Stegostoma tigrinum: one gene and its partners. The protein of the gene in region 1 purifies or fractionates together with the protein of each later gene. This does not show direct contact. Links are inferred from orthologs where the notes say so. Each region holds a gene or a part of one and is shown in the gene's direction. Other genes may lie near its edges.

Region 1 (11,173 bases):
AACTGCCTGCACCTGTCCGACAGAAGAAATTTGCCACATAAATGAATTGAGTTGCTGTCGGTTCCTTTTGTTATGTTTTTTCAAGATCTTTCAGATTGCTCCCTAGATTATCCTTTAAACCTTATAATGGAGTTACAAACTTGTAATTTTTTATTTGAAATAAATGCTGTGTCAAACTTAAATAAGGTGTCAGGCCACTGGCAAATATTGATTCACTTTGTCTTCCCACTTCCCACAAATGGCCTGGATTTAATCGAAATGAGCAAGGACACACAATCAACCCTGAATGACGTTTCAATCCTACAAATGAAATTTCTCCAAGTGACCTGTTGTATTGCGGGATGTTGTGGAGGAATTGCTAAGTTCGCCTGTTCTGTCACTTAAAATTAAGCCACATCACTGGATTTGTCACAGGATGATATACATGCACACTTTGTCCTGTTACTGCTCTGTGCAGCACCTAAATTAAAGATGCCGTATGAATCCATGATTGAAACCTGAACTCTGTTTCCATACAGATCATTGCACAGCAGTACCAAGCTTATGGAATGAAGCAGCTGAGTCATGATCAAGTGCCGTGAGTGAAATGCAGTTTTCCCTGTAAAGTGAATCCAGACTGTACGTTTATTCATTAACAGAATGAGGGCATCACTGGCCAGGCAGCATTTATTGCCCATCCCTAACTGCTCAAAGGGGATCACATTGCTGTGGGTCTGGAGTCACATGTAGTCTAGACCAGGTAAGGATGGTAGTTTCTTTCCCTGCTGAACCAGATGGGTTTTTTCCCAACAATCAATTCATGATCATTATTAGACTCTTAATTCCAGATGTTTATTGAATTCAAATTTCACCATCTGCTGTATCAGGATTTGAACCCAGGTCCCCAGAACATTTTCTGGGTCTCTGGATTAGCAGTCGGGGGATAATACCTCTAGGCCATCATCTCCCCTCATCTCAAATGAATTTTTGCTGTTAAATTGAAATGTTCGGGTAGGGGTGTTCAATGCAGGGTATTGATTTACAGAAGCTTTGGATTAAAGGATGCAGTAAAGTCAGTAAATCAGATTGTCTTGAGGCCAAAGGTGAAGTAGGAAGGAAGGTGCAACGGACGAGATGTGCTGCAACATTAAAGTGGATAGTGAGATAAAGATTTCTAGGTGACTTGGTGGGATGTGATGATTGAAAACACGAGGGAAAGGCCATATAATGTCAGCATAATGTTTTCAAATACAATGCATTAAGTAGCAGGGAGCCAAGAAGAGATGATGGAAGTAGAACATCCATGATAGATATTGCAATTTTAGATTGTCTGAAGGTTAGGGCTAGATAGACATTGAGGTCATAGCGATTATAGACAAAAGGTGCCATAATCCCAAAGAGCCATAGGCTGTTGTCTCATGAGACAGAGATGATTGGTAGTTTAATCTGAAGGTTGCCAAACATCAGGTGAGGGGGAGGGGGTGTGGAGAGAGTGCAGGTGCGAGAGAGCGAGCACGTGTCTGGTGTGTATGGAGGCTTTAGAATGAGAGAGAGAGAGAGAGAGAGAGTGCGTGTGTCGGGGGGGGCATTAGAGAGAGAGCAAGAGAAAATCTGAGTGTTAAGAGTGCAAGCGAGTGTGTGTGTGTGTGTTGGGGGGGGGGGGCGTTATTGAGATAGAGTGTGTGTCTGCGTGTTTGAGGGGAAGTGAGAGTGTATAGTGTGGTATGGTCACCTGTAGTGTGACATGATCCCAAGATCCCAGTTGAGGCTGCCCTCATGGGGACCAAACTTGGCTATCAGCCTATGCTCGGCCACTCCATGTTGTCGTGTACCTCGAAGTCCGCCTTGGAGAACGTTTACCCGAAGATCCGGGGCTGTATATCATTGATAGCTGAAGTGCTCCTCCACTGGAGGGAACATCTGGTGATTATAGCGCAGTGTCCATTCATCCATTGTCACTGCATCTGCAATGTTTCACCAATATACCATGCCTTGGGGCATCCTTACCTGCCACGTTACATGAGTATCTGCTGTGTATGTGGTGGGGCGTGTTCCCACGTGTGACGGAAGTGTCCATGTTGATGATCTGACATGTCTTGCAGAGGTTGCCATAACAGGGTTGTACTGTGTTGTATTCGATGTTGTCCTGAAGACTGGGTAGTTTGCTGTGAACAATGAGGTTTGGTAGTTGTTTGAAGGTGAAAAGTGGAGGCATGGGGAAGATCTTGGTGAGGTGCACATTGTCACTGATAATGTATTGAAGGCTGCGAAGAAGATGGTGTAGTTTCTGTACTCCCAGGAAATGCTGGACAATGAAGGGTACCCTATCAGATGTATCTGTGTCTGTCTTCGAAGGAGGCCATTACGGTTTTTCGCTGTGGCACTGGCGTTCAATGAGTTGAACAATGTTAGTGTCTGTGTGTGGGGAACATGAGAGAGAGAGAGAGAGAGTGAAAGCAAGAGAGAATCTGTTTGTTGGGGGGGGCATTAAACAAAGATTGCAAGCAAGAGAGTATCTGTGTGTGTGTGTGTTGGGGGGGCGGGGTGTTAGAGAGAGATCGAGCATGTGTCTGTGTGTTTGAGGGGGAGTGAGAGTGTATAGTGTGTTACGGTCACCTGTAGTGCAACATGAACCCAAGATCCCAGTTGAGGCTGTCCGCATGGGTACCAATCTTGGGTTGATGAGTTGAGCATTGTATCCTGTTCCAATGGGGGCATTTGGATGGGTACATTATCAGAATGTGTTTGAAGGGATATGGGCCAAATACTCCCAAATGGGATTAGATGAATTTTGGATCTCTGGTCTGCGCGGACGAGTTGTGTCGGTTTCTGGGCTGTGTAGTTCTATGACTCTTGTGTCAGACCCAAAGATAGTAGGAACTGCTGCTGCTAGACTCTGAGATAAAACACCACAACGCAGTCCCCAAGCCTCTGCTTGGTTTCCCCGATTGTAGAGGAGGCCACAATCGGAAAAGTGGATACAGTATATCACATTAGCAGATGTGCAGGTGAACATGTTTGATGTGGAACGTATTCTTGGGACCTGGGATAGGGGTGTAGGGGCAGGTGTAGTACATCCTGTAGAAAACGACAATGTTGTCGAGAATACTGAGATACAGGCTACTAGACTAGGTGGGATTGAGGCTCACAAGGAAGAGGTATTAGAAATCCTACAGAGGGTGAAGACAGATAAGTCCCCTGGGCCGGATGGGATATATCCTAGGATCCTCTGGGAAGCCAGGCAGGAGACTGCCAAGCCTTTGGCATTGATCTTTAACTCGTCATTGTCTACAGGAATAGTCCCAGGCGACTGGAGGATAGCAAATGTGGTTCCCCTGTTCGGGAAGGGGAGTAGAGACAACCCTGGTAATTATAGACCAGTGAGCCTTACTTCAGTTGTTGGTAAAGTGTTGGAAAAGGTTATAAGGGATAGGATTTATAATCATCTAGAATAGAATAATTTGATTAGGGATAGTCAGCATGGTTTTGTGAAGGGAAGGTCATGCCTCACAAACCTTATTGCGTTCTTTGAGAAGGTGACCAAACAGGTAGATGAGAGTAAACTGGTTGATGTGGTGCATATGGATTTCAGCAAAGCATTCAATAACGTTCCCCGCAATAGGCTTTTGTACAAAATACGGAGGAATGGAATTATGGGAGATATAGCAGTTTGGATCAGAAATTGGCTTGCTGAAAGAAGACAGAGGATGGTGGTTGATGGGAAATGTTCACCCTGGAGACCAGTTACTAATGGTGTACCGCAAGGGTTGGTGTTGGGTCCACTGCTTCTCGTCATTTTTATAAATGACCTGGATGAGGGCGTAGAAGGATGGGTTAGTAAATTTGCAGACGACACCAAGGTCAGTGGAGTTGTGGATAGTGAAGAAGAATGTTGTAGGTTACAGAGAGACATAGATAAGCTGCAGAGCTGGGCTGAGAGGTGGCAAATGGAGTTTAATGCAGACAAGTGTGAGGTGATACACTTTGGTAGGAGTAACCGGAATGCAAAGTACTGGGCTAATGGTAAGATTCTTAGTAGTGTAGATGAGCAGAGAGATCTCTGTGTCCATGTACACAGATCCTTGAAAGTCGCCACCCAGGCATACAGTGTTTTAGCGTTTATTAATAGAGGATTGAGTTCCGGAAACAAGAGGTTCAGCTGTACAAAACTCTGGTGCGGCCGCACTTGGAGTATTGCGTACAGTTCTGGTCACTGCATTATAAGAAGGATGTGGAAGCTTTGAAAGGGTGCAAAGGAGATTTACTAGGATGTTGCCTGGTATGGAGGGAAGGTCTTATGAGGAAAGGCTGAGGGTCTTGAGGTTGTTTTTGTTAGAAGAAGGTTGAGAGGTGACTTAATTGTAGACATATAAAATAATCAGAGGGGTGGATAGGGAGAGCCTTTTTCCTAGGATGGTGATGGTGAGCATGAGGGGGCATAGCTTTAAATTGAGGGGTGAAAGGTATAGGACAGATGTCAGAGGTAGTTTCTTTACTCAGAGAGTAGTAAGGGAATGGAATGCTTTGCCTGCAACGGTAGTAGATTCGCCAACTTTAAGTACATTTAAGTCGTCATTGGACAAGGATATGGATGTACATGGAATAGTGTAGGTTAGATGGGCTTCAGATTGGTATGACAGGTCAGTACAACATCAGGACCGAAGGGCCTGTACTGTGCTGTAATGTTCTATGTTCTATTTCCTGGGGTTGCAGGGAAAATTGCCAGGGGTGGTGGGGCTTGGAGACAACTTTATGGAGCACCTGCAGTCCCATTCACATACCATTTCCAGTCCCCCTCCCATTCCTTAGATGACATGTCCATCATGGGCCTCCTGCAGTGCCACAACGATGCCACCCAAAGGTTGCAGCAACAGCAACTCATATTCCGCTTGGGAACCTTGCAGCCCAATGGTATCAATGTGGACTTCACCAGTTTCAAAATCTCCCCTTCCCCAACCATATGCCAAAACCAGTCCAGCTAGTCCAAAAGATTGGAGCGACTGGGCTTGTATACACTTGAGTTTAGAAGGATGAGAGGGGATCTGATTGAGACGTATAAGATTATTAAGGGATTGGACACTCTCTGGGGGCAGGAAGCATGTTTCTGCTGATGGGTGAGTCCAGAACCAGAGGACACAGTTTAAAAATAAGAGGTAGGCCATTTAAAACAGAGTTGAGGAAAAACTTCTTCACCCAGAGAGTGGTGGGTATATGGAATGCTCTGCCCCAGAAGGCTGTGGAGGCCAACTCTCTGGATACTTTCAAGAAAGAGATGGATAGAACTCTTAAAGATCGTGGAATCAAGGGTTATGGGGATAAGGCAGGAACAGGATACTGATTGTGGATGATCAGCCATGATTACAATGAATGGTGGTGCTGGCTCAAAGGGCCGAATGGCCTACGCCTGCACCTATTGTCTATAGTCTCTGCCTTTCCAACCATTCCTCTCACCTCAAGCCCCACCTCCATCCCACTAACCTTAGCCTCACCCCCGCCCCCCTGATCTGTCCGTCCTCCCTGCACAGACCTATCGCCCCGCCAGCGACACACCTTTACTGGCTTCATCCCCGCTTCTTTAACTTGTCTGTCTCCTCTCACCCAATCTTCTCCTTTATCCATCTTCTATCCGCCTCCCCCGTCTCCCTATTTATTTCAGATTCTCCTCCCCCCTCCCCCGAAGAAGGGTCCCGACTTGATACGTCAAGCTTTCCTGCTCCTCTGATGCTGCTTGGCCTGCTGTGTCCATCCACTTTCACACCGTGTTATCTCAGGAACTCCAGCATCGTCAGGCCCTACTATCTCTGTAACAACTTTCTCCCCCTCTCTCCCTATTCATTTCAGAACCCCCTCCCCCTTTTCTGATGAAGGGTCTAGACCCGAAACGTCAGCCTTCCTGCTCCTGAGATGCTGCCTGACCCGCTGTGTCCGTCCAGCGCCACATTGTGTTATCTGCAGTTCTTTAGTTTGTTTCCCGTTCGCTGGCCATTGCATTATTCCCATTGGCCTCCACGGAGGACCTTGCTCCCATTGGCTGGCCGTTGCGCGATTTCTATTGGTAGCCTCCAGGATCTCGAGCCCATTGGCTGGCTATTGCACTATTCCCATTGGCCGGCCGTTGCCAATTTCCCGACGGTCGCCCCCTGAAGATGTGCTATTATTGGCTGGCCATTGCACTAGTCCCATTGGTTGTCCAGTGCCGTGTTCCCATAGGCTGTTGGGTTGGCGGGCGATGGCGGCCGGGCTCTCGGTTCGGGCCGGGCCGCTCGAGCTTTTTCTCCGGGACCGCGGGTGGCTTCGGGTCGGGGCTGAGCTGCGAGCAGATAGCCTGAAGCTGACCAGCGAGGACTTGGAGCCTGGGGTCTGGGATGGTCTCTCCAACGGATCCCCGCGGCCGCGGAGCTCCAGCCCGACTCCAGTACATATGAGCCCGGCGGGGCCTGGATCTGGGAGTCCGGGTCGAGGTGCCGCGGTTGTGCTGCCCCGGGAGGCCAGCAGCCCGAAACCGGGTCCAGGGCTGGCCGATCGGGTCCGTACCGTGAGGGTTGTGAAACAGGAAGCCGGTGGCCTCGGCATCAGCATCAAGGGCGGCCGCGAGAACCGAATGCCCATCCTCATCTCCAAGATTTTCCGGGGCTTAGCGGCCGAACGTACCGGCGCCCTTTACGTGGGAGATGCCATCCTTGCGGTGAACGGAGCTGACCTCCGGGAGGCGACACATGACCAGGCCGTACAGGCCCTGAAGAAGGCTGGAAGGGAGGTGACCCTGGAGGGTGAGCGGGGGCTAAGGGGAGAGCGACCCGATCTTCGAGGTTCGGGTGAGGAGGGAGCGTACCCCCCCTCCCCCGGGGAGAGAATGGTCCGGGGATTCCTCTTCCACAAATTGTAAACGGATAATTTCGATGTTGAAATCTTCATTGAAAGAGATGTATAGAGAGAGATGTGCGTCTAATGAATACTTGCCATGTTGTTTCTCTGCTGGTTTCTGGACTGGTTCACATTGTACAGATTCCGATGGGAGCCGAGTTCTCCTCGAGTTTAACTTCATCAGTGTAGGCCTAGTACACGTAGAGTTTGTGAACATTGTGTATCCACCTGAAGGGCAAGTGGTTAACAGTAAGTGATTAGAATATCCTAAGGATCCAACAGGTAGAAATGTATTACATAAAACACAAATACAACCAACCAGGAGGTGCTAAAGATACTCCATTTGAGCTGCTTCTGTCTTTTTAAAATCTAAATCTACCATCCTAATCCTTTACATACAAACTAGGAGCAGGATTAGGCTATTCAACTCCTTGACTCTGCTCTTCCATTCATAAGATCATAGCTGATCTGACGGTAACCTTAAATCGATATTCTCCCCAGGCCTGTTAACCTATCATCCCCTGGCTGAAAAGAATCTATCTGTTACCAGTTTTAATTGTGTTCAACGACTTGACTTTCTTCACTTTTTCAATATGGGAGTTCCAAAGACTTGAGATGTTCCACCAGCAAAAAAATTCACTGCATCTGTTTTAAATGTGTGACAGTTTTAAACAGTAACCTTTAGTTTTAGATTCATTGTTAGATTCTTAATTCTAGATTTCTGTTGTTTTCGAAAGTCACAATTTGGCAGGCAGCATTCAAACATAAATGTTCCCTAGGCCATTACCTCTGTTTCTGCATTAATAGTTTGGAGATAATGCAGTGACAAGAATGCTAATGCAGTTATCAGGGAGGTGATGATCTGGTGGTATTATCACTGGACTGTTTGTTCAGAGACCTAATAGCATTTAGGGTGGCACGGTGGCTCAGTGGTTAGCACTGCAGCCTCCCAGCACCAGGGACCCGGGTTCGATTCCAGCCTCGGGCGACTGTCTGTGTGGAGTTTGCATATTCTCCCTGTGTCTGCGTGGGTTTCGTCTGGGTGCTCCGATTTCCACAGTCCAAAGACGTGCAGGCTAGTTCGATTGGCCATGAGAAATTACCAGTAGTGTTCAGGGGCGTGTGGGTTATACGGGGATGGGTCTGGGTGGGATGCTTCAAGGGGCAATGTGGACCTGTTGCGCCAAAGGGCCTGTTTCCACACTGTAGGTAATCTAATCTAATCATTCTGAGGACCTTGGTTTGATTCATGCCAAGGCAGACGGTGGAATTTGAATTCAGTAAAATATCTGGAATTAAGAATCTAATGATTACTATGAATCCATTGTTGATTGTTTGAAAAACCCAAATGGTTCACTGACCTTTTAGGGAAGGAAACTGCAATCTTTACCATATTTATTCCTATTCATCTGTTGGATGTGAGCATCGCTGGCTGGCCAGCATTTCTTGTCCATCCCTAGTTGCCCTTAAGAAGATGGGGGTGAGCTGTCTTCTTGAGCTGTTGCAGTCCTCCTGCTGTGGGTTGACCCACAATCCGACTAGGGAGGGAATTCCAGGATTTTGACCCAGCAACAGTGAAGGAACAGCAATATATTTCCAAGTCAGGATGGTGGGTAACTTGGAGGTGGTGATGTTCCCATATGTGTGCTGCCCTTGTCCTTCAAAATGGAAGTGGTTGTAGGTTTGGAAGGTGCTGTCTGAGAATCTTTGGTGAATTTCTGCAGTGCATTTTGTAGATACTATACGCTGCTGCTACTGAGTGATGGTGGTGGAGGGAGTGAATGCTTTTGGATGTAGTGCCAGTCAAGTGGGCTGCTTTGTTCTGGGTGGTGTCAAGCTTCTTGAGTGTTGTTGGGACTGCATTCATCCAGGCAAGTGGGGAGTAGTCCATCACACTCCTGACTTGTGCCTTGTAGATGGTGGACAGGCTTTGAGGAGTCAGGAGGTGAGTTGCTTGTCACAATGTTCCTAGATTCTGACCTGCTCTTGTAGCCACCGTTATTGTGGTGAGTCTAGTTGAGTTTCTGATCAATGATAATCCCCAGGATGTTGATAGTGGGGGATTCAGTGATGGTACCACCAATGAATATTAAAGGATGGTGGTTAGATTGTCTTATTGGTGATGGACATAGCCTGGCATTTGGGTGGCACGAATGTCACTTGCCCCTTGATAGCCCAAACCTGTATATTGCCGGGGTCTTGTTGCATATGAACATGGACTGCTTCGGTATCTAAGAAGTCACGAATGGTGCTGCACATATCCCCACTTTTGACCTTATGATGGAGGGAAGGTCATTGAAGCCGCTGGTCTGACCTGTATGTGACTCCAGAACTACAGCAATGTGGTTGACTCTGAACTGCCCTCCGGGCAATTAGGGATGAGCACTAAATGCTGCCCAGCCAGTGTCACCCTTGTCCTGTGAATGAATAAAGGAATACAGTTATGCCATTGATAGCTTTTGTCATTGAAATGTTTTGTCACTGCCCCCCTCTCTCTGACTTTCCCACCCCCAGCTCTGGCTCACCCGTCTGCCCACTGTGTGCCCATCTATCTCGTTTGACCATTCTCTTTTCTATTCTAATAAGATCACAAAGTCAACATGATTACAGATAACAGGGTGTAAAGCTGGATGAACACAGCAGGCCAACTGCATCAGAGGAGCAGGAAGGCTGGCGTTTCGGGCCTACACCCTTCCTCAGAACAAAATTATACAATTGAACCTGGAAGAGTGAATTTAATCCAGAATGGGAGCGACAGTTCTGGACCTGTCACCTGGGGAGAATGAGCCTGTGCAGATGGAATGCATATAGGGAAGCTTTTGCAGATAGTGACTACAACTCCGATAGATTTAGGTTAGTTATGGTCAAAGGTAAAGATGGGTTGGGAATAAAAGTTCTTAATTGAGGAAATATTAATTTTACTAAGATAGTGTTATGGGCCAAGTGCTGGGAAATGGAGCTAATGTAGATTTAGCGTAGCTTTTTGTCAGTGCAGGCTTGATGGGTCAAAGGACCTCCTCTACTGTATGATTCTATAATATTAATTTGATAATGGTAGGCTGGGAGCAGCTACTTGCACATTAAACTGTCAGAGCAGTAGGAAGCATTCATTGAGGAAATACCAAAAGCACAGATTAAATTTGTGCCTGCAATGGTGAGACCCAGGCAGGAAAATCCTGGATGTCAAAGAAAATGAGCATTAAGACTAATGGATGGGAGAAAATAGCTTAACATGGCAAAGGCCCTCGAAGAATATAAAATGCCCAGTGTGATCTTAAGGTAATTTGGAAAAACTGCAAGAGTGCATGAGAAAATATTATGTAGAAAAAATGGAAAACAAAAGGATTTTTAAAATATATGAATGATATTAAATATTTGTTTTCCGTAAGTTGTGGGCATAGTCCTCAGTGAGTACTTTGCGTTCAGTATGGATTTGGACAACACAGTTGTGGACATCAGGATGGAGAACTGTGAAATATTGGAAGAAATCAACAGAGAGGAGAGAAGAGTGTGCTGAGCAGTGTTTAAAGTGAATAAATCTACAGATCTGGATTGGATGTATTCCAGGCCGTTTAGGGAGGAGATATCAGAGATATCCTCTTTGGCCAAAAGTGAGGTACCAGAAGTTTGGATAACTTTTAACATTGTCCTGTTATTTGGAACAAAAAGAAGAATGAGCTACACCAGGAAATTACAGGCCAGTTTAATCCCAGTGGTGGGTAACTGATTAGAAAAAATTCTAAGCGACACAATATATCTGCACTCGCAAAAGACAGATTATTCAGGCATTGGCAACATTAATTTATTGAGGAAAGGTTGTGTTTGAAATATTTGATTGAAATTTTGAGGTGAGTGTTGATGAGTGTAATGCATTTGGTGTGGTCTGTGAGATTTTAGCCAGGCATTTGTTAAGTTCTGTCATGGCAGATTGTTCAAGAAAGAGTCCTTGAGATCTGAAACAAATGGTATGTTGGATCTAAAATTGGCTGACAGTTTAGAAGCTGGCACTAATGGTAAAAGGATATTTCTGTGACGAGAAGTCTATTTCTGGTCAATTCTTCAGGGCTTGGTGCTGTGGCCCTTTCTGTTTCTAGTGCATGTTAATGATTTGGATGTAAATGTAAGGAATGTGATCATGAAGTTTGAGGATGACATGAAAATTGGTAGAGTGTAAATAGGGCAGCTAGCTATAAGCTATGTAGGAGGACATATAGTGGACTGACAAGTGAGCAGAACAGTGAAAAATGAATACAGCCTGGAAAACTGAGGTCATGCAGTTGGGACGGCTAATAAGACTAGAGATTACACTGAAAAGTAGGACAGTAAATCG
Region 2 (11,158 bases), on another chromosome or scaffold:
GGCTGTGCTAACTGGAACAAGAGTGGAATTGAAGCCTGAGGCAGATCAAACATCATTCTTATTGAATGGCAGGGCAGGCTTCAGAAGTCTATTTTTTTGTCCTGTTTCTTACATACTTACATCTGGTGCAATTTTGGTAGAGGCTGCAGGTTTGGAAGGCATTCTTGAAAAAGCCTTGGTGCGTTGCAGTTGTGTATTTTCAGGGTCAAATAACCAGTAATCTGAGCAAAACTGTGTCATATATAACTCATTTACTACTCAATGAATGGTCCTTTAAATAATCCAAAATGTGACTATTTTGCTTCTGGATGCTTATTGTTTTGGCAGTGGTTAATGTATTTGTTTTCTGCCTACCTCTTGACAAAATTTACGATTTTGATAATTAAAAGTCTCATTCTGATGCAGGAAATCGTGAAAGCAACCATTCAAGGTCTTCAGAAACATACATGACAACTGCACAAATGGCAATACCCTGTATCAATGCTACAAAGGTTGTGCAAGAAGCGCCAGTAGCACTCTGTGCAAATGAGAAATCTGCAGTAGGTGTGATAGGCTACACAATTCAATTTCACATACCCTGTGTATTTCAAATATCAGATGAGATCCCATTTATGGGTCAATTGTGCAAAGGTTTTGATGTTGAACTAGTAACCCAGGGTCCCAGGTAAGACGCTGGGACTCTATGTTCGAAACCCACCACAGAAGATGGTGGAATTTGAATTTATAAAATCTGGAATTAAAAGTCTAATAATGTTGATTGTCATGAAAGTTCATCTGGTTCACTAATGTCTTTTAGGGAAAGAAATCCACCATACTGCGTCCAGTTCTGGGCGCCCTATTATAGGAAAGATGTGGATGCTTTGGAGAGGGTTCAGAGGAGGTTTACCAGGATGCTGCCTGGACTGGAGGGCTTATCTTATGAAGAGAGGTTGACTGAGCTCGGTCTCTTTTCATTGGAGAAAAGGAGGAGGAGAGGGGACCTAGTTGAGGTATGCAGGATAATGAGAGGCATGGATGGAGTTGATAGCCAGAGACTATTTCCCAGGGCAGAAATGGCTAGCACGAGGGGTCATAGTTTTAAGCTGGTTGGTGGGAAGTAACGAGGGGATGTCAGAGGCAGGTTCTTTACGCAGAGAGTTGTGAGAGCGTGGAATGCGTTGCCAGCAGCAGTTGTGGAAGCAAGGTCATTGGGGTCATTTAAGAGACTGCTGGACATGTATATGGTCACAGAAATTTGAGGGTGCATACATGAGGATCAATGGTCGGCACAACATTGTGGGCTGAAGGGCCTGTTCTGTGCTGTACTGTTCTATGTTCTATGTTCTATCCTTACCTGAGGTCATCTTCATCTGACTCCACAACGGAATCCAGACAACTATGTGGTTGACTTTTAACTGTCCTTTGAAATGGCATTATAAGCCATTCATTTCTATCAAACCACACTGGAGCCTAAACAAACAAATGAAATCAGATGCACCACATTCAATGTAGACCCCAGAAGTAGAATAGGCAGCAAGTAACATTTGCATCACACAATTGCCAGATAATGATAACCTCGAAAAGGAAAAATATCTAAGCTTGCGATGTCTAATACAATGATTTCCGACAGTCCTTGTCTCCGACAGGTGATCTCACTGGCCACCCTTGTTTCCTTGTCATGTATGTCTCTGACAATCCATCTCACCGCCTGCCTGTAATTCCTCACAGTGAGCATGTTGATTACTATGCCTCTCTATGAGTTCTGCTTCCAGAAGCTGTAGAGAAAAGTTCATGTCTTTATCAGGATTTTCTTGCTTGTTGCATTGTGTTTCAGTTTGGTCCAGAACGACTTTCATTTCAAAAAAAAGTATGTTCTGTGATAGTATTGTAAATAAATGAATAAGAAATATATTAGGAACAGATGTGTGAAGTCTGTATATTAAAGTACTAGATGTATAGGAGCATGATGTCTGTGCGAACTCTCTGCAGCAGCAGCTCAGCTGGTCCCATTTTTCTTCCTGTTCCCTGCAGGCCTGAGTTTATTTTCCTCAGCTATTTATCTGCACGTGGATGAAAAGTTAGGATGGGAGCTGTTGCGCCCACATCCAAAATTTGAATAACGCAAGCCAATCATGGGCCCTGGAAACAAATCACAACATCAAAAATGACTTGCGGTGCCACTACATTAGAAAGCAGCTAGCAACATTCTGAATGTTCCAGAGACACGGGTTGACCAGCAGCAGAGTAATGTCTTGAATTACATGGTGAAGCAATAAGAAGGAGTAATAAACTGGGAACATATAAAAAGAAACCAGAAAAATGGGAAAATAAATTTCTGTTAACAATTGTAAAAGATGAGCATTAGCCTCATATGTTCATGTGTCATAAGTGGATATTAATAAATGAAAAGGGGAATTTGGTTCAACACCACTCAATGATGCAAAGTGAACTCAAGGACAGTTTTCACTTAAACAGATTCAGATAAAAAAAATATTAGTGAGCTGAAAGCCTTTTGAAAGTTCTACAGTCATGTTTTTCTAAGGCAGCAGCAAAGCCTGCACTGAACAGAATTTTGCATTTGTCATCTTCTGGTAAAGTGCAGGAAATTATTGCCTGATGGCAAAGTAATTAAAGAAACAATGACTGCAGCCACAGACGCTTTATTCAAAGACTTTAAGGACAAGGAAGAAATAATTATTGCAATCCAGAGCATGTCACTTGGTGTTTCCACAGGACCAGGCCAAATGGAATCTTTGTCTGAAGACATCTTTCAATAGCTACATCAGGGTCTCAAGGACTGTGACTACAGTTTTATGACTGCATTAACATGCAATGAGCTGTCAACCAGTACATGGTTATTTTGCTTCAGGTTCCTAACAGACATAATGTCAAAAACTGAATGAGGTGTTAAGTGCAGGAAACAGACAGAGTCTAGCATTTATAACTAGGGTTGTGAAGGCGCTCAAATTGAAATTGGGTCTGTGGTTATCCCAAATGAAAAATACACTGCAGCACTTTCCCAGCCTGGAGAAAATACTAGACAAAAATACAAGGAAAAACCAGAAAACCTCAGTGCACTTCTGACGAAGTTAGTAGAAGAATTCAACATATGATTTCAGGAATTAGGTGTAATGGAACAAACCATCATATTTGTCTCAAATCATTCCTTCAAGTAGACTTTGGTAGAAGGCTACCAAATTCCATCAGGTGTTTGATTTACAAGCAATGATGTTGCTACAGAGATAATTACCGGGAAAATGACTTTGAAAGTCAGATCAAAGGACATAAGCAAAAAAATTACCCACTCCTGATATCCTGTGCTTTTAATGCGGAAGCTTAGTTTGACTCCTTATTCCTCTGTGAATCAGCATTCTTTCAAATGATAAGGATGAATAGACAATAGACAATAGGTGCAGGAGTAGGCCATTCGGCTCTTCGAGGCAGCACCACCATTCATTATGATCATGGTTGCTTATCCACAATCAGTATCCTGTTCCTGCCTTATCCCCATAACCCTTGATTCCACTATCTGTAAGAGCTCTATCCATCTCTTTCTTGAAAGTATCCAGAGACTTGGCCTCCACTGTCTTCTGGGGCAGAGCATTCCATATATCCACCACTCTCTGGATGAAGAAGTTTTTCATTAACTCTGTTCTAAATGGCCTACCCCTTATTTTTAAACTGTGTCCTCTGGTTCTGGGATCACCCATCAGCAGAAACATTCTTCCTGCTCCAGAGAGTCCAATCCCTTAATAATCTTATACGTCTCAATCAGATCCCCTCTCATCCTTCTAAACTCAAGTGTATACAAGCCCAGTCGCTCCAATCTGTCAACATATGATAGTCCCGCCATTCCAGGAATTAACCTCATGAATCTACACTGCACTCCCTCAATAGCAACAATGTCCTTCCTCAAATATGGAGACCAAAACTGCACACAATACTCCAGGTGCAGTCTCACCAGGGCCCTGTGCAGCTGCAGAAGGACCTCTTTGCTCAAGTACATGTTTTGCATCTACCTCACAAATAATCATTTGATGGACTGTATATGACTAGCTGTTTCAAAGTACAAGCCAGACATCAAGGCACAGGCATATAATGTGCAGACACCGAAACTTGACGAGTGAAGACAGAGTTCAGTAGCACTAAAATAAACTTTTTATTCTATATTTTCTTCAGGGTAAATTCATAAAGTGATCTTGCATTTAAAAAGGTTGGAGGTAACTGATCTAAGCATTTCCCCTTGACATTCAAAGGCATTACCTGTGTTGAATGTTCCACTATGTACAAGCTGGGAGTTACCAGCAAAAAGAAACTGAGCCAGAGTAGCTATATAAACTCTGTGGCTGTAGGGACAGGTTAGGAGCCCAGAATTAGTTGGACTGAAGGGTCTGTTTACATACTGAGTGACACTATTAGCCTATATTGGTACATGAACAGGAAAGGTTCAGAGGGATATGGGCCAAATGCAGGCAACTAGGACTAGCTTAGTTGGGGAAACTTGCTTGGCATGGACGAGGTGAACTGAAGGGCCTGTTTCTGTGCTGTATGAATCTATAAATCTTTTCACCTCCTGTCTCCCTAAGCCTATCACCAACTAGAAGTCACAATTAGAGTGTAAGAGAACAGTTTTTTTGCTCACCTGGATAGGTGCAGCTCCAACCAATTTTTCTAAACAACCTGTTCAGAGAAGTTATTACACACCTTTGGAGGAGGTGGGGCTTGAATCTGGGCCTCTTAGTCCAGGGATAGGTACACTACCACTGTGCCACAAGAAGGCCTCGAGGTACAGCTCCACCAACAGTCAAGAAGATTAATAGTATCTGGGATAGAGTGGTCTGCTTGATTGGCAGCCCATTCAACACCTTCACGCTTCATTTCCTCCCCCATATTTGCTCAGTGACATCAGTTTGTACCCTTTACAATGTGGACTAACAGCATCTTCAAAACCATGACCTCCACCACACAGACGCACAAGACAGCCAATGCATGGAAATACCTAATCTTGCAAGTTCCCGTCCAAGCAACACATATTCTTGATCGATCCTTCACTGTCACTGAGTTAGAATCCTGGAACTCTCTTTCAAACATCACGGGGTGGCGTGGGGTGGGGTGTTACCTTCAGCCCAAGGAAAGTGGCGATTCGCGGGTGATGGCGAATAAATGCTGGTCTAGTCAGCGAAACGCACACCGCATTGACGAATACAAAACTAGGAATAGGCAATCTTGTCAGTATCACAATGTGGACTAATTTGGCTTTTGCATTACCTGAGTTACAATGGTGACTTTACAGATAGGTGGGAGAGGCATGCTTGGATTTAAATACGTGAGAATTTTAAAGCTGTTGAAATTGGGGAAACAGGACACAATATAGGTCAGCGCGGATAGGATGAATGAAAGGCATCAGTGATTTTAGGAAAGAAAACTCACATTGATGTAGTCTTCAATACAAAGATTGACCAGGATAGTATTAAAATTATGTAATTGTGTGACGGCGAAGGCCTGGAAGAGCAAGGCAGTGGCCACTGGCTTTTCAGTACTATATTCAACCGAATCTTCTATCACTCCCGTTTATTCACCAAGACATGTAATACAATAAATCATTTTAACACATAAAATATGTACTCAAACTGGGTCGTCTATTTTAGAACGAGGAGCACAGTTTCCTTTGTTTGGGTTAAAACCTGCCGTTTTGATGTGTAAACTGTCGACAAGGTGTAATTTGCTAAAACCACCGACGCGTGAGCGCACGCGCTACACGCAGGTGCTGCAGCCATCCAGGTTAACGCATGCCCAGCACTGGTTTGGCCACGGCCGGTTTGGCCTTCAAGCGCATGCGCAAACACTGTACCTCCATCTCGCCGCGAGCTCAGTGCTGACGCAGCCAGAGTGCGGGCAGTCGGGGAGCGGGCGTTGATTGGTGGTTACCTCCCTGACCAACCGCCGCCGCCTGAAACTGTAGCGGCGCAGCGACAGGGGACGGGCCGACACTAGCAGCCTACAGCACGACAGGGCGAAGTGTTAACATGGTCCGACGAGCGCCGACTGTAATATATTAAGACCTTTCTTTCATTGCGAATTATTCCCGGATTTTGGCCTGGATTTCCAGGGAGCAGTTCTATACAGAGAACAGAAGCCTTGGACTGTGGATTTTTTTTAAGGCAGTGAAAAAGAGAAGGTGGGGTCGCCAGGAGGAGGGCAGCGCCAAGCGTAGCCCAGCAGTCTGCTTTACCCGGCTGCTTCACTATCAATCAGTCTTCGTTTCGCTGGTGCTGTCTGGAGGAAAAAAAATCTTTTTCATTCATTGTGTCCTGAATTCTTTAACTGATCTACACGGGAAACGTTTTGTTTTAAAGACCAATTTCCACATTAGAGGGAGTTTTTTTTTACTTTGAATTCCCTCTCAAAATTCTGATTTTAATTATCGACTATGGCCGACGACGACGTCCTGTTTGAAGATGTATATGAGCTGTGTGAAGTGATTGGCAAGTAAGTGTGTTTTTTTTAAAAAATATATATATTTAAATTAAAGTAGAAATCAACTGAAGCCAGAATATTATGGTTGTGGTTTAATTCGTGGTTTTACTTAACGGGCCCTCCCTCTGTTTCCAGTGGATTACAGGATACGGCCGAAGGATTTATTTAGCTTTTTTGCATAATAACGAAAATAATTCTGGAAGTAAATTTAAACAAATAACATTTAGAAATCAACTTTATGCGTTAGGAAACAACTCATTATTTGCTACAATTTTATGTAAAAGTGGTACAGCCCATTGTGGATATTATTTACTTTGTAATGTATGAATTGAAATTGAAATATTGATAAAGCTGCTCTTGCATCTGAAGGATACGGTGCCTCCTTTTGAAGGAGAGGAGCATCAGACATTTATCCAGGAAATAATGAGTAGTTTCGGCTGTTTCCCGCAAAACCAAGAAATTTGCATTAATTATCAACTATATTTATGTATTGTTTTGATTCAGAAAGTTTATCGTTTAACGTTGTATGATATAATCCATTTTCTTAAGTCAGGTTGAAGATCAATTTTCGTGTTGTGAGAGCACTAATGCTCCAGCGAAGCAGTCGTTCTGATGCAGTGATTTTCAGTTAAATAAGGAAAGAATGTTTTGTCAACGTACAAGATTTTAATTGTCAAGATAAACATTTGATCAAGAGTTTCTCCTTGTAGGATGGGTCATTGTTCTTTTGTATTCTTAATTATTTTAAAACACTAGTGTTCAGGACGTGGTTTATGCATGTTTATCAGCATAGCATTTTTGTATCTCATTTATTTGTTTAGACATTTTCGTAACAAATATTTACTCTTTATTATGTTCAAATGGTGGATTGTTTTCTGGGTTTTTTTGGCTATGCATTGTAATATGTTTTCAGTCCTGTTAGGTAATCAGAATAGTGTTGACAGATAATCTCAAATATCTGTAATTGAAAGTAAATAGTCAAATATGACGCTTCTTTTGCGGTTATCTTTAAAAACTCAGGCTGTATCACAAACTTTTAAATTTAGCATGTAGTTTTAGAAATGCCATTCTTACCTTTTGCATCTATCAAGATTTCTTGTTTCAAGCAAATTGTTTTAAAAAATACAGCAGTAACTTAACCCTTTTTGGGTATTCAGATTCCTGAAGAAGGGTTTTTTAAAAGACTTGTGACCTTGTATATTTTATTTTAAAATTATATGTGTAACTTGCAACTGAACAACTGAGTTATGTTAAATTCATACTTCTGTAATTTCAGCCGAGAGAAATTGGAAGATTGCAATACTAAATATATAGAAATGGATTTTTAATTCCATTTTTGCAATTGAATCTCAGAAGATAGTGTATGAATTGTTGAGAGGATACTGACATAGATGTTACAAATATTTTGAGATGAGCCTGTCTTAACAGGAAAGTATAATGACTTGAATAGTTTTGCTTTTATATTCAATTGCAGAGCAAAATAGCTGTAAATAAAACAGATTTGTGATCACATTCTTTGATTTCACAGTTGCAATTGCATTTACTATAATGCTTTTTACTAAAATTTTGCGCTCCAGTTGTGTCTTTGGTCACATGATGCTAAGTTAAACTGCATTAGTCAGTTTTACAGTACCTATTTTAGGTAGGGACATAGGAGTTGTAAAAGTATCATTCTGTTCCAATCCCTTCAAAGCCTTGCTTCATTCTGTAATCTATTTACTATGGATATTGGTGAACACACAAGCCAATTCTTTCATTTCACCACTCTTGACCATTGCCTTCAGCTGCTTAGAACCTGACTTCTGAGATCTCCTCCATAAATCATTTCACATCTCCGACATGCTCTCCTCTCTTTTAAGGCCTTAAGTTTTTTTTTAAATGTCGTGTACCTATGTAATGTTTTGGAAAACTTCATCTTGATAAAGATGTAATTTTTGTTAAGATGTTTTATTTAAAATCTAATTTAGTTCTTTAGCATTTTGAGTTTGGAATGATTTTCAGTCATCTTTGGCTAAAGAAAAGCATCCAGAGTTGACAAATTTAGTTAAAGAAACAATTAATGAAATCAGATTTCAGGAGCAAAGCCTCTAGAATCGTTCAAGGGAAAGTTGATTGCTGTGCTACTGGAGTGTGGCTTGCATCGAAAGACAACATAGAAGGTTAAAGTTGTTTTTCTTGTCAACTAAAACAACTTTTGGTGCTTAGATTCATATGCATTTTATTCTTTGTTTTTTTTCAAAATCCTGAATGTACTCAACAAATCAGACAACATCTATACAGAGAGAAATTAGTTAACTTTTGCAGGTCACTGAACTTTCATCAGAACTGAAAACATTTAGAACTAAGTAATTTGTTGTAATGGATTAAATTTTCCTCATTGTTTCCTTTCAAAAACAAAAAAACATTTGATAGTTTTACCAGATTAAAGGGAACATACGAAATGACATTATTACATTTTGTTAGCTTTGTACGTAATGTTCAATGAAGTAACTTGCTGGTTCATTCACCTCTCCCCAAAACTGCAATCAAGTGTGTTTGTTTTGTCTTTTATAGGGGGGAAAAAAAACCCAATAATTAGCTAGAGGACTCATTCACAATGCGGACAAAACTCCTTGAAAATTTTGTAATAGGCATATGTTTTATTGGTGTGCATGGATGAGCAGACTCCAAGGGGTAAAAGTGGCCTGCTCTTGATCTAAGACTTGGAGACGGTATGGACCGCAGAGGTTGGAAGCTAGGGTCAATAAATGTGGAGCCGGAAAAGTACAGCAGGCCAGACAGCATCCAAGGAGTAGGGATATCAACGTTTCAGGCCAAAACCTTGACTTCCCTACTCCTCAGATGCTGCCTAACCTGCTGTGCTTTCCCACCTCCACAGTGATTTGGTGTTGATCTATTTTCTGATAGAATGGAGGATGGGTGATTAACCAGGATTTAGAGTATCAAGAGTTAGTGAAGCAGTGATCTGGATGTGGATTTTAATAGCAGATGCACTAAAAACAGGTAAAGGTATGATTGGAGGTGACCTTAGTGAATTCACAATGGTATGAGGTGGAGAAATTGTCTCTCAGATTTTGAGTGACGAATAGTGGTTCATATTCACAAAGGGGAAGTGATAGGTGATGTAATGGTATTATCACTGGACCTGTCAATCCAGGGGCCCAGGTAGTATTCTGGGACCCAGGTTTGAATCCCACAATGGCAGTTGGTAGAATATGAGCTCAATTTTTTTTTAAGAAATCTGAATTGAAGAGTGTCACGATGCCCATGAAACAATCACTGGCAGTTAAAATCCATCTGGTTCATTAATGTCCTTTTTTTTTACGGAAGCTAACTGCCATTCTTACATGTGACTCCAGATGACAGCAATGTGTTGACTCTTCACTACCCTCTTGGGATGGGGCAATAAATGCTGGCCTAAGTGGCAATACCCTCATCTCATGAATAAAACAAAACTTGTAAGATGTAGGCATCGCTGGCTGGCTAACCAGCATCTTATTACCTGTCCTTAGTTTCCTTTTGAGAAGGTGAGTGTGAGCTGCCTTCTTAAACTGCAGCAGTTCACATACTGTAAACTGACCCACAATGCCCTTTACGGAGGCTTTTTCAGGATCTTGACCCAGTTACAGAGAAGGAACTTGCGATGTATTGGGAGAGTGGAATCAGAATTCATGAGTCCTTCGGCCATGCACTCACGTCCTATGCGGACCAGGTGGCGGACATGTTCGCTGATACTTTTTAACATCATTTTGCTACGATCTGAAGTCCCCACCTGCTTTAAGAAGACCACTATCATTCCAGTAGCCAAAAAAAACACATACAACATGCTTCCGTGACTGCTGCCCAGTGGCTGTGACCTCCATAATCATAAAATGCTTCAAGAGATTAGTCATGGTCCACATCAACTCTAGCTTCCCAGCCTGTCTTGATCCTTTGTCATTTGCTTACTGGTGAAAGAGGTCTGTTGTGGACACCATTTCCCTAGCACCATGGAATATCTGGACTGTAAGGATACCTACACCAGGTTCTGATTTATCAACTACAACTCCACCTTCAACACTAATCCCAAACAAACTAATCTCCAAACTCAGACCTAGGTCTTGGCTCTGCCCTCTGCAACTGGATCCTCAGCTTTCTAACCCTAACCCAATCAGTAAAGATCGACAATAGCATCTCCTCCATAATCCTCAACATTGGCACATTGCAAAGATGCGTACTTAGCACTCTACTGTGTGGCCAAATTTCATACGAGCACCTTCTACAAGTTTACACGACGCTGCCATTGTAGGCCAGATATCCAGCAACGATGGGTCATAGGAGTGACGGTAAGTACCAACCCAGCCTGGACCTTCCATGTAGATGCAATGGTCAAGAAGGCACAACAAGCCTCTTCTTCCTGACCACCCTTCCATGGATGCGCCATAGAAAGCATTCTGTCTGGGTTCATCATGGCATCTGCTCTGTCCAGGACCAAAAGAAACTGGAAGGTTGTATATACAGCTCAGATCAATCTCTCATCCATGGACTCCATCTATTTTTCATGTTGCTGCGGAAACAATGCCAACTTCATCAAAGACCCCTTTCACCCCAGTAATACTCTCTCACCCTCTTCCATGAGGCAGAATATAACAGAAGCTTGAACACACACACCAACACGTTCGAGAACAGCTTCTTCCTTCCGGTTATTAGACTGCTGAATGGA
Region 3 (10,927 bases), on another chromosome or scaffold:
TCACTGTGGATCCCATGTGACTTCACCTTTGGTACAGACTGCTGTGTAATACCTTGTCAAAGGCCTTGCTAAAGTCTACGTAGAAGTCTATACAACGCCCTGCCCTCATCAGTCATCTTTGTCACATCTTCAAAAAATGCAATGAAATTTGAGAGACAGTCTTCGCCCCCACATAGCCACGCTACCTCTCACTAATAGGTGCATAAATGTATATACATTAGAAACTGAAAAACTACAAACATGCATTTAGCTATACAGTTGTTAACATTTCTATATTTATATCTCACAATCTCATGTTTCTTACAGTGTTCCATATTGCCTCCTATAAAAATTATTTTGAAATGCAAACACTAATGTACACACATGCAGCAGATATTTTGTTGTCTCTTGAAATGAAAAGGATGCAACTATGCTATCTTGGCTGCTTCAATATCCTAAGCAATGAGTTCTGCATTCTTAGCACTCTGTGGGCAAATTAATTTTCTCCAGATTCTCTGTTTGATTTTTTAAAATGCATTGGTGGTCTCTAATTATGTTCTTCTTACAAGTGGGGGAAAAAATTTCCCTGAATCTTCTTTTTGAAACTTTTACGCTTTTGAACATCTGTGTGTGGTCAGCCATCAACGTTTTTTGAGGCGGAATGATGTCTGTTCATTTCTTTCTCTCCAAAAGTCTGTCTGTCTGTATTCATAAAGCTTTCAAGACCACATTATATGAGGTACTACACAGATCACTTTCTTTCAGTAAAGAACACCGAATGCCTCGTTAGCTTGCCGTTACAGGCTGTCCGTGTTCATTCATCCTTCAGTGCATTTTTGATTTTACCCTTGTAAACCTGCTCTGCCATGTCACCAAGATAACAAAGTGTGGAGCTGGACGAACACAGCAGGCCAAGCAGCATCTCAGGAGCACAAAAGCTGAAGTTTCGGGCCTAGACCCTTCATCAGAGAGGCTCTCTGATGAAGGGTCTAGGCCCGAAATGTCAGCTTTTGTGCTCCTGAGATGCTGCTTGGCCTGCTGTGTTCGTCCAGCTCCACACTTTGTTATCTTGAATTCTGCAGCATCTGCAGTTCCCATTATCTCGCCATGTCACCATTCATTTTTAATAACATACAATCAGACATGCAGTACACAAAATGTATTTTAACTGAGCTTCAAGATGGGTTTACATAACTCTCCTACTATTCAAATGTATCCCTGTAGAAATGAAGTCTGATGTTTATGGTAAGGTAGAATGCTCACAGCATTGAAGGCGGCTATTTGGCCCATCCTGTCAATGTCATCTGTCTGCAAAAGCGTTTCACTAATTGCTGAGTGGGTCGTGTATTTGTACTCCTGAATGCTTTTGTTCTTCCACCTAGATTCTCACATTGCAAATGATAGTGACCACTCTTTGTCTTCTACAAAAATGTATCACCTCACATTTATATGTTCAAGATAATTTTGCACATGAACTAATGTGAACTTCAACCTGTCAGATTTTGGATACAACCTCAATGATTTTGAGGACTTCTTTCAAAAACTGAAATACAATGAATTAACAAAAATGAAATTTACTCTAAGTACTGCAGAAAATGTTTGAATCTAGGTGACTGATAAACGCAGTGCACAAATGTTGGACAGGCGAGGGGCAAAACACATCTTGCACTGTTTATACTTTCCTGTATTTTGGACAATATGCGTGATGCCCAAATAACTGTTTCAATGACAACCACTTTTTAATGACAGCAGACAATACATTGAACACCTGCTGTTAGGGTCATTGAGATGTACACCATGGAAATAGATCTTTCGGTCCAAATTGCTATGCTGACCAGATATCCTAAATTAATCTAGTCCCATTTGCCGGCGTTTGGGCCATATCCCTCCTTAAACCCTTCCTACTGTTGTACCATTCAGTTGCCTTTTAAATGTTTCTTTACCAACTCCACCACTTGCCCTGGCAGCTCATTGCATAACGGCACCACCCTCCACTTGGGTTCATAAGTAGTGAGTAATATTCATGCTGTATGAGTGTCAGGAAATGACACTGCCCAAAAGAGAATGTACCTATTTCTCCTTGACATTCAACAGAATTATCATCACTGAATCTCCTATCATTGACACCTGGAGGTTACTAATGACCAGAAGCTTAACTATTTTGCCACAGCCACACTGAGCCCTGCCGAATCTTCACCATCCTCCCAGACCTCCCCCTGACTCTGGATGAATGGTCAGTCCTCAGTAAGGGGCTCACCTTTGTCCCTCTCCACCCACACAGCAACGAATGCCAGTCGCGTTTGGACATTGAGCAGCTTTTCCGCCGCCTTTGCCTCCATGCTTACTTCTCTAACCGTGAGCCCAACTCTCCCTCCACTGACCCCTTCTCCCACCTCCAACACAAGCCGTCCTCCTGGACACCACCCCAAGGCCTCCTACCTCCACTTGCCGTCGAGACAGCAATCGCCTCAACCTCTCCACCACTCTCTCCTCTCCCCCGCAGAACGCGCAGCCGTCTGCTCCCTCCACTCCAATCCCACCCTCACCATAAAACCCACGGATGTCGGAGGCGCAGTTGTGGTATGGCACACTGACCTTTACATCGTTGAAGTCGGATGCCAACTCTCCAACACCATCTCCTACTGCCCCCTGGATCATGACGCCACCCCGAGCCCCAAACCATCCACAACCTCATCAACTCAGGTGACCTCCCACCCACAGCCTCCAACCTCATTGTTCCCCAACCCCGCACTGCCCGCTTCTGTCTCCTACCTAAAATCCACATACCTACCTGTCCTGGTTGACCCATTGTCTCCGCCTGCTCCTGCCCCACCGAAATCATGTCCACCTATCTGGACTCCGTGTTCTCCTCGTTGGTCCAGGAACTCCCTGTCTACGACTGTCCCGCAACTCATCCCTCACACCCCGTCCCTGCAATAACCACCAAAAGACAATCCCCCTCATCCCCACGTAACACCCTGCCAACCTCTGGATCCAATGCTTCATCCTCTGACACTTCGGCCATCTGTGATCCGACCCCACCACCAAAGACATTTTTCCATCCCCACCCTTATCTGCTTTCTGGAGGGACCACTTTCTCCTTGACTCCCTTGTCTGCTCCACGCTCCCCTCCAACCCCACCTCACCCATCACTTGCCCCTGCAACTGCAGGAAGTGCTACACCTGCCCCCATACCTCCTCCCTCACCCCTAGGCCCCAAGAAGACTTTGCACATCAAGCAGATGTTCACCTGCACATCTATCAATGTGGTATACTGCATCCGCTGTAGCCGTTGTGGCCTCCAGTACGTTGGGGACATCAAGCGGAGGCTTGCAGAACAGCTACGCTTGGTTCGCAACAAACAACTGCACCTCCCGGTTGCGAACATTTCAATTTCCCCCTCCCATTCCTTAGACAACGTGTCCATCCTGGGCCTCCTGCAGTGCCACAACGATGCCTCCCGAAGTTTGCAGGAACAGCATCTCATATTCCGCTTGGGAACTCTGCAGCCCAATGGTATCAATGTGGATTTCACAAGCTTCAAAATGTCCTGTCCCCCTACTGCATCACTAAACAAACCCAGATCGTCCCAGCCTCCCCAACCTGTCCTTCCTCTAACCTATCCCCTCCTCCCACCTCAAGCCGCACCCCCATTTCCTACCTACTAACCTCATCCCACCCCCTTGAACTGTCCGTCCTGCCCGGACTGACCTATCCCCTCCGCTACCTCCCCACCTACACTCACCTCTGCTGGCTCCATCCCTGCCTCTTTAACTTGTCTGTCTCCTCTCCACCTATCTTCTCCTTTATTCATCTTCTATTCGCCTCCCCCCTCTCCCTATTTATTTCAGAACCCTCTCGCCTCCTCCTTTTCTGATGAACGGTCTAGGCCCGACACGTAAGCTTTTGTGCTCCTAAGATGCTGCTTGGCCTGCTGTGTTCATCCAGCTCCGCACCTTGTTACCACTAAACATGTGTTGCTTATTAGCATTGCCATTGACGCCTCACTGAACTAATCACACTTTCCTATTCTCTTCTGATACCCTCCGTGCTATATTTAAATATATTTACATATCCTGATTTGAGATGATGCGTATTAATAGCTTACTTGTGACTTCACAGCTGGACATCACTTGAAGTCTCAAGAAGGAGTATATTAACAGTTGAAAAATGGTGTTAACTGCCTTTCAAAGTATTTGGATGTAGATGGAGCTGGTGATTGCTATTTGTAGTAATTCTGCTTTATTAGTAAAATCACGGTTGGAATACTGCATATGGTTCTGATCGCCCTGCTCTAGGAAGGATGTCAGTAAACTGGAAAGGGTGAAAAAAAGATTTACAAGGATGTTAATGAGACTTGAAAGTTGAGCTATAACGAGAGGCTGGATAGGCCGAGACATTTTTCCCCTGTAGTGTGGGAGCTGAAGGGCGGATCTTTACAGATGTTTATAAAATCATGAGGGGCATGGATAAAGTGTATAGCCAAGGTCTTTTTCCCTAGGGTAGGGAGTCCAAAACTAGAGGGTATTGGTTCAATGTAAGAGGAGAAAGATTTAATTGCAACCTGAGCAGTAACGTTTTCACACAGAGGGTAGTGCGTATATGGAATGTGCTGCTGGAAGAAGTGGCAGAAGTGGGTACAATTACAACATTTAAAAGATATTTGGATAGGTACATAGATAGGCACATTTAGAGGGATATGGGCCAAATGCAGACATATGGGACTAGTGTGGTTTTGAGAACTTGGTCAGCATGGATGAGTTGGACCTGAAGTCTTTTTCTATGCTGTATGAATTGACTCTATGAAGAAATCGGGGAACAGAGCTGCTTGGATGACTCTTTCGGTAAGTTGTCACAGTCCCAATCGAATGGATGGAGTTTTCCGCAATACAATGCTTTTCTTTTTTGTGAACCTGGTGAATGCAGTCAACCGTGCAATTTCAGTGCTAGTTCCTCGTTTTTGTGTTCCTCGTGAGCCAGTTTGTGTTTGGATCGGGAAAGCTGTGGTGATATTTAATAACTAAGCTGGAGAAAATAGGATTGGACTAATAGATCGATTTAGTCCATAATGCTTATTGCAAAGCAGGTTATTGGAATAGGGGAGACAATGGTCTCGTGGTATTTTTGCTCAACTGTTTAATCCAGCTGCCCAGGCAATGTCACCTCTGCTGGCTCTTTAACTTGTCTGTCTCCTCTCCACCTATCTTCTCCTTCAAATACACATTTGAATATTTTTAGATGAACCACAATGGAAATGAGCAATTTTCACATTTGGGAAGGAATCACCAGTTCGGAATAGCTTGTTTATGTTGGTATGTGCTTTTCTTTTGCAAGCTGTTCTGTGCATCAATCATTTTGCACCATTGAAATCTCAATTAAAGACGGGAATTAAGTTATAAAGACAAGGCAACCCATGATTAGGCTGAGTAAACTGATTAAACAGCAAGTTTAGTAATATCAGATCAATACAGTAGCACCTCAGAAACACCAAGTGGTGGAGAGAGTGAAGTGCTGATTCTGGTTTGTGGCTGTCTACTTTTGAATGTGACACATGCAGTGTAAGCTTGTATTTATCCCTTACCTCCCAGCTTGCACTGAGTGATGTTAAACATCCGTTTCCTCTGCATTTTTTCTGTGAGCAGAATTTAAGAGATGAGTGTGCGGAGTGTGAAGCCTTTATCATGGACAATTTGTCCTTTTCTTCTTTCTTGCAACAAATATGTACATGTTTCAAGTGGATTAGGTAGTAAGTATGCAAGTTTTAATAGACGTTCTCTTGAATGAGGTGGTATATTGTAATCTGTTTGCTTAAAGAACGTTATAAAGGCCTAGTTCCTATATTTCAACACCGAATACAATTTGAAATGTGCTTTGTTGGCTTTGAGGCAAATTCAGTTCAAGAAATCTAATGTGGAAACACAGTTTTTGGGGACCAAATTCAAAGTTTGAGCACTTGTAAATATAGAACCAAACTCATTTATGACTACCTTGCTTGAAAAATTTTGGGGAATATATTAAGGATTGAAAGGTTTGAGGCTCCAGGCAAGCTGCATTTACAGTGCACCTTTGGCATCGGTGCGAAGTGAGATTTGTTTCACAGCAGTTCTTATCTTCATTAATGTTAATCTGGAAGTAAGACCTGACTTGTCTCCCATGCAGCGTGCACTCAGGAGATTGAACTATCTAATACAGAACTTCTAAAACTGGAATGTTCAATGAAGCTGTTAGGGTGTGTGTGGACTTTAGACTCTGCAGTTATAGCATTAGATATCTTTCTGCATTTTATTTGAAGGCTGTCTTGTGTGTTTTGTCTACATAGCTGCAAAAAACGGTAGGTGTGACTCTTAAAACCAAATTACACCTGCCTGTTTCCTGACTGCTTAGGACCCTGCTCTTCTTTTGAGTATTTCACCTTGTCCCACCCCAAGCATTTCATTTAAATCTTTATCACAAAGTCCATTCCATTGTAACCAAGTAGCTTTCTTGTTCCTCAAATTAGTACCTACCTGTGACAGAAATATATTTGTTTCATTTGAACCTGAAATGAGCTTCCAACCACATACCTGTAAGCAGTAGGACTGCTAACTTCCACCAATGTGACATCATCTGATTCTGCCCCTGCCTCAGCTGATCGGCCTCTGTGCCCTTGTTCCACCTGGACTTGAATATTTCTTGCCTGTCTTGCACCCTCCATAAGTTAAGCTTGTACAGAACTCTGCTTCTAGTCCTGTTCTTTGATCACCTTTCTTCTCCTCAACCTGTATTGGCATCTGGTTGTTATCTCAATTTTTAAAATTGTCACCCTTGTCTTGCAGGTTCTGCCATGGCCATGTTCCCTCCTTATCTGTTCAATCTCTTCTAGCCTAACAACAATTTGTAACATCTGCCGTGCACAAACTTTTTTTAAAATTAATTTATGGAATGTGGGTGTCATTGGGTGAGTCGGTATTTTGTTTTATCTTAATTGCCCTGAAGGAAGTGATGGTGAGCTGCTTTCTTGGATCACAGCTGTTCATGTAGTGTAGGCATGTCCATAGTACTGTTAAGTAAGGAGTTTCAGGATTTTGACTCAGCAGCAGCGAAAGGACGATGATATATTTCCAAGACAGAATGGTGAGTGACTTCGAGGGGAACTTGCTGGAGGTCATGTCACATCTGCTACCCTGTTCCTTCGGTAGAGGTTGTGGGTTTGGAGGATGCTGTTGAAGGAGCCTTGGTGAGCAACTGCATTGTATGTTGTAGATTGTGTGTGCTGCTGGCATTATGTCAGTGATGAAGGGGGTGAATGCTGAAAGTGGTGAATGTGGTGCCAATCAAGTGAGATGTTTTGTCCTAAATGATGTCTAGCCTGAGTGTTTTGGAGTTCTACTTGTGCAGTACCTGGTGGGGGTTGGGGCAGTCATTAGAAAGCAGTTATGAATGTGGTTTGATGTTTCAGCTCAGCCTCCCATTCAGGTAAAGTTGGGAGATTTGAATCCATTGATTTAACTGCAAATTGACTGCTGTGTGCATCTGAACTGAGGCTGCCTGAAATCTTAAAGATGTCTCTAACACATTGTTGTTGCTTTCAGTGGCTAGTGTTGGAGGACTGAAGGCTTTCAAATCTTGCTGTAAATATGATCACTTCCTTTGAGCAGACTGCAAGGTCATTGACCAGTTAGCTACAGCAAAAGGCTTGGTGTTTTCCGCAACAAGTCTGTTGTAGAGGTGGGGTTTGATACAGCTATTATGTTGTGGGTTTTTAATTATATTTTATGTTACATATTGTGTTTGTTCTATATTGAGTGAAAGTAGTGTCATTCAAAGTAGCACCAGCACTCTTTTGTATTAGTTAATGAGTAGCATTTTTTTCTGGAAAAAATATTAAGACAATGTGTTCCATGCCACCCCTACCCACATGCACCCCAACCACACCAAAAAAAGTGCTGGGAGAAATATGCAGTGAATTTTGTTTCTGTTTGTGGCACCTATTGATGAATATATACAAATTCTCTAGCTTTCTGGGCCACTGTACAGTGATTGCTTTGTGTGAAGAGATTTTTAATGTTGCTGAAAGTCACACAAAATGATTCTCAACATAGCTGGTGGCCTTTTGGGTTGATTTTATAACCTTGGAGCAGGCAAGCTGATTTGGCTACAGGATCTTAGAACTTCTATGTTGTGAAGGAGCCATGGAAATCCAGGAGATTCCAATTTTTAGAATGCATGATTGATAAAAAAGCACAGAATTTGCTCCATCTTGCTTGTGTGCCAGTGAAAGCAAACTGAGAGGAAAAAACTTACATGCATATGGCAGCTTGCGTAGCGCCTAATTTCCCAAAATGTTGATGGACCATTGTATTAACTTGTTGAAATATATCTGAACCCCTTTTATGTTTGCTTTTGAGTGAGGATATTTGAGACAAATTTTGGGATTGTATTGTTGTGGAGGGTGGTTCTGTCTTGTTATGCAGGCTTGGAACGGCTCATGTATTTATGAAAGCACTCCGACTAGGAATAAATTCTTCTGTGCCTACTTGATCAGCTGTTTAGATTAAAAAGCACAATCGTACTCATTGTGCAATTCGTAAAGTTAATTATTAGCAGCTTATTTTCTTTGTTGTCATGTTCCAACACACTAGTCATAATTATGCTTGTTTTAAATGAAATTGGCACATAGTCCGGCCATTACTTGCATGTTCAGTCAGTGCCTTTGTGAAGAGGTTGGTGAGGGTGTAGAAGTCTGATGTCTTTACTATAAAAACATGAAATACTACAACACAGTTACAGGCCATTTCGCCCACCATGTCTGCACTGACCATAATGCCATTCTCAACTAATCCCATCTTTGTGCACGTGGTCCACATCCTTCTATTCCCTGCATGTCCATTGGTCGGTCCATATGCCTGTTAAACATTGATTTTGTATCTGCTTCTATCACCTGTTTGGCAGTGGATTCTATGGACCTACCGCCCTCTGTGTAAAGAAAAATTAAAACCCTAAATCTAACAGTAGCCTTAATGCTAACTCTGTTGCACATCTTCTTTAAACTACCCACCCTCCATTTAAACCTAAGCCCCTTAGTATTTGACATTTCCACTGTGGGTAAAAGACTCTGACTATCTATGCCTCTCATAATTTACACACTTCTATCAAGTCACCCCTCAGGCACGAATGCTCTAGCAAAAACAATCCAAGTTTGTCCAAAATCTCCTTATAGCTAATAGACTCCAATCCAGGCAACATCCTGGTAAACGTCTTCTGCATCCTCTCCAAAGCCTCCAAACCTTTACTGTAGTGTAGTGACTAGATCTGCACACAGTTCTCCACGTGTAGCTCAATTAAAGTTTTATACAGTTGCAAATGACTTGCCAACTTTTATACTCAGTTGCCTGACTAATGAAGGCAAGCATGCCGTATTGCCTTATTTACTGCCTTATCCACTTGTATTGCCACTTTCAAGGAGATGTGAACATGCACTCCAAAGTTCATCTGTATATTAGTGCACAAAAGGGTCTTGCCATTCACTGTATACTTTTCACTTGCATTTGACCTACCAAAATGCATCACCTCACATTTTTCTGAAATAAATGCCTACTGCAATTTCTTTGCCCAACTTTCTAACTGATCTATATCCTGCTGTATCCTTTGACAACCTTCCTCATTATCCACAACTCTGCCAATTTTCATGACGTCTGCAAAATTACTAATCAGACCACCTACATTTCCATCCACATCATTTATATATATTACCACAACAGGGGTCCCAGTACTGATGCCTGCAGAACATCACTGCTCACAGATTTCCAGCCAGAAAAGCACCCCTCAGCAGCTACCCTTTAAATCGTACAATCGCAGGAGACATCCTTCAGCCCATTGACTCTGCAACGACAAGTGAGAAACACCTGACCTGTGACCTGATCTCATTTATCAGCACATGGGCCATTGCCTTGAATGTTATAACATGACAAGAGCTCATCCAGCTACTTCTTTTAAAGGCTATGAGGAAATTCACCTCTACCACCCTCCCAGGCAGCGAATGCCAGACCATAACCACTTTCTGACTATAAAAAGTGTTGCTTACCATTCCCCCATCTTGAACCTCTGCTTCCTTGTAATTGACCCTTCAAACAAGGGGAACAGATGTTCCTAATCCACTCTGCTCTTGCCCCTCATAATTTTGTATACCTCAATCAAATAGCGTCTTGATCTTCTCTGCCCCGACAGAAACAACCCATGCTATCCTACCTTTCTTCACAACTTGAATTTTCCATCCCAGGCAGCATCCTGATGAATCTCCTCTGCACCCCATCTAGTGTAATAAAATAATTCCTGTAATGTGATTACGAGAACTGCAAACACTACTGTAGCTGTGGCTTCAATAAAATTCTGTACAACTTCATGACCAGCAGTTGCATAGGAGACAGCTACACTGAGCCCTGCCGAATCTTCACCATCCCCCCCCCACCCCCACAGACCTCCTCCTCCTGACTGAGGACGAACCTTTGTCCCTCTCCACCCTCACATCAATGAATACCGGTCACGTTTAGACATAGAGCACTTTTTCCGCCGCCTTCACCTGCACGCCGTGAGCCTAACCCTCCCTCCACTGACCCCTTCACCCGCCTCCAACACAAGTCCCTCCTCCTGAACACCACCCCAAGGCCTCCTATCCTCCCTCAACCTCATCATCTCCAACTGTCGCCGAGACATCAATCGCCTCAACCTCTCCACCCCTGTCACCCACTCCAACCAGTCCCCCGCAGAACGTGCAACCCTCCACTCGCTTCGCTCCAATCTCAACCTCACCATAAAACCCGCGCACAAGGGAGGTGTAGTTGTAGTATGGCGCACTGACCTTTACGTCGCTGAGGCCAGGCGCCAACTCTCCAGCATGACTTCCTACCACTCCCTGGATCATCACCCCAACCCCGAGCACCAAACAGTCATCTCCCAAACCATCCACAAC

The links.
Region 2: the proteins of sntb2 (region 1) and caska purify together in Homo sapiens (affinity purification with mass spectrometry; 3 studies listed by BioGRID and IntAct, with this or other methods). This does not show direct contact. The link is inferred for Stegostoma tigrinum from reciprocal best matches to the Homo sapiens genes SNTB2 and CASK.
Region 3: the proteins of sntb2 (region 1) and dystrophin purify together in Homo sapiens (affinity purification with mass spectrometry; 4 studies listed by BioGRID and IntAct, with this or other methods). This does not show direct contact. The link is inferred for Stegostoma tigrinum from reciprocal best matches to the Homo sapiens genes SNTB2 and UTRN.

The regions. Positions count from the first base shown.
Region 1 is NC_081369.1:67,638,832-67,650,004, forward strand, and holds the start of sntb2 (beta-2-syntrophin), read left to right. Parts: upstream 1-6,185; 5' UTR 6,186-6,208; coding exon 6,209-6,749; intron 6,750-11,173. Other genes in the region: utp4 (U3 small nucleolar RNA-associated protein 4 homolog), read left to right, coding at 1-41. UniProt on the Homo sapiens protein: Adapter protein that binds to and probably organizes the subcellular localization of a variety of membrane proteins. May link various receptors to the actin cytoskeleton and the dystrophin glycoprotein complex.
Region 2 is NC_081365.1:43,394,015-43,405,172, forward strand, and holds the start of caska (peripheral plasma membrane protein CASK), read left to right. Parts: upstream 1-5,853; 5' UTR 5,854-6,409; coding exon of another isoform or gene 6,410-6,468; intron 6,469-11,158. UniProt on the Homo sapiens protein: Multidomain scaffolding Mg(2+)-independent protein kinase that catalyzes the phosphotransfer from ATP to proteins such as NRXN1, and plays a role in synaptic transmembrane protein anchoring and ion channel trafficking.
Region 3 is NC_081362.1:550,517-561,443, reverse strand, and holds the start of dystrophin, read left to right. Parts: upstream 1-5,619; 5' UTR 5,620-5,631; coding exon 5,632-5,725; intron 5,726-10,927.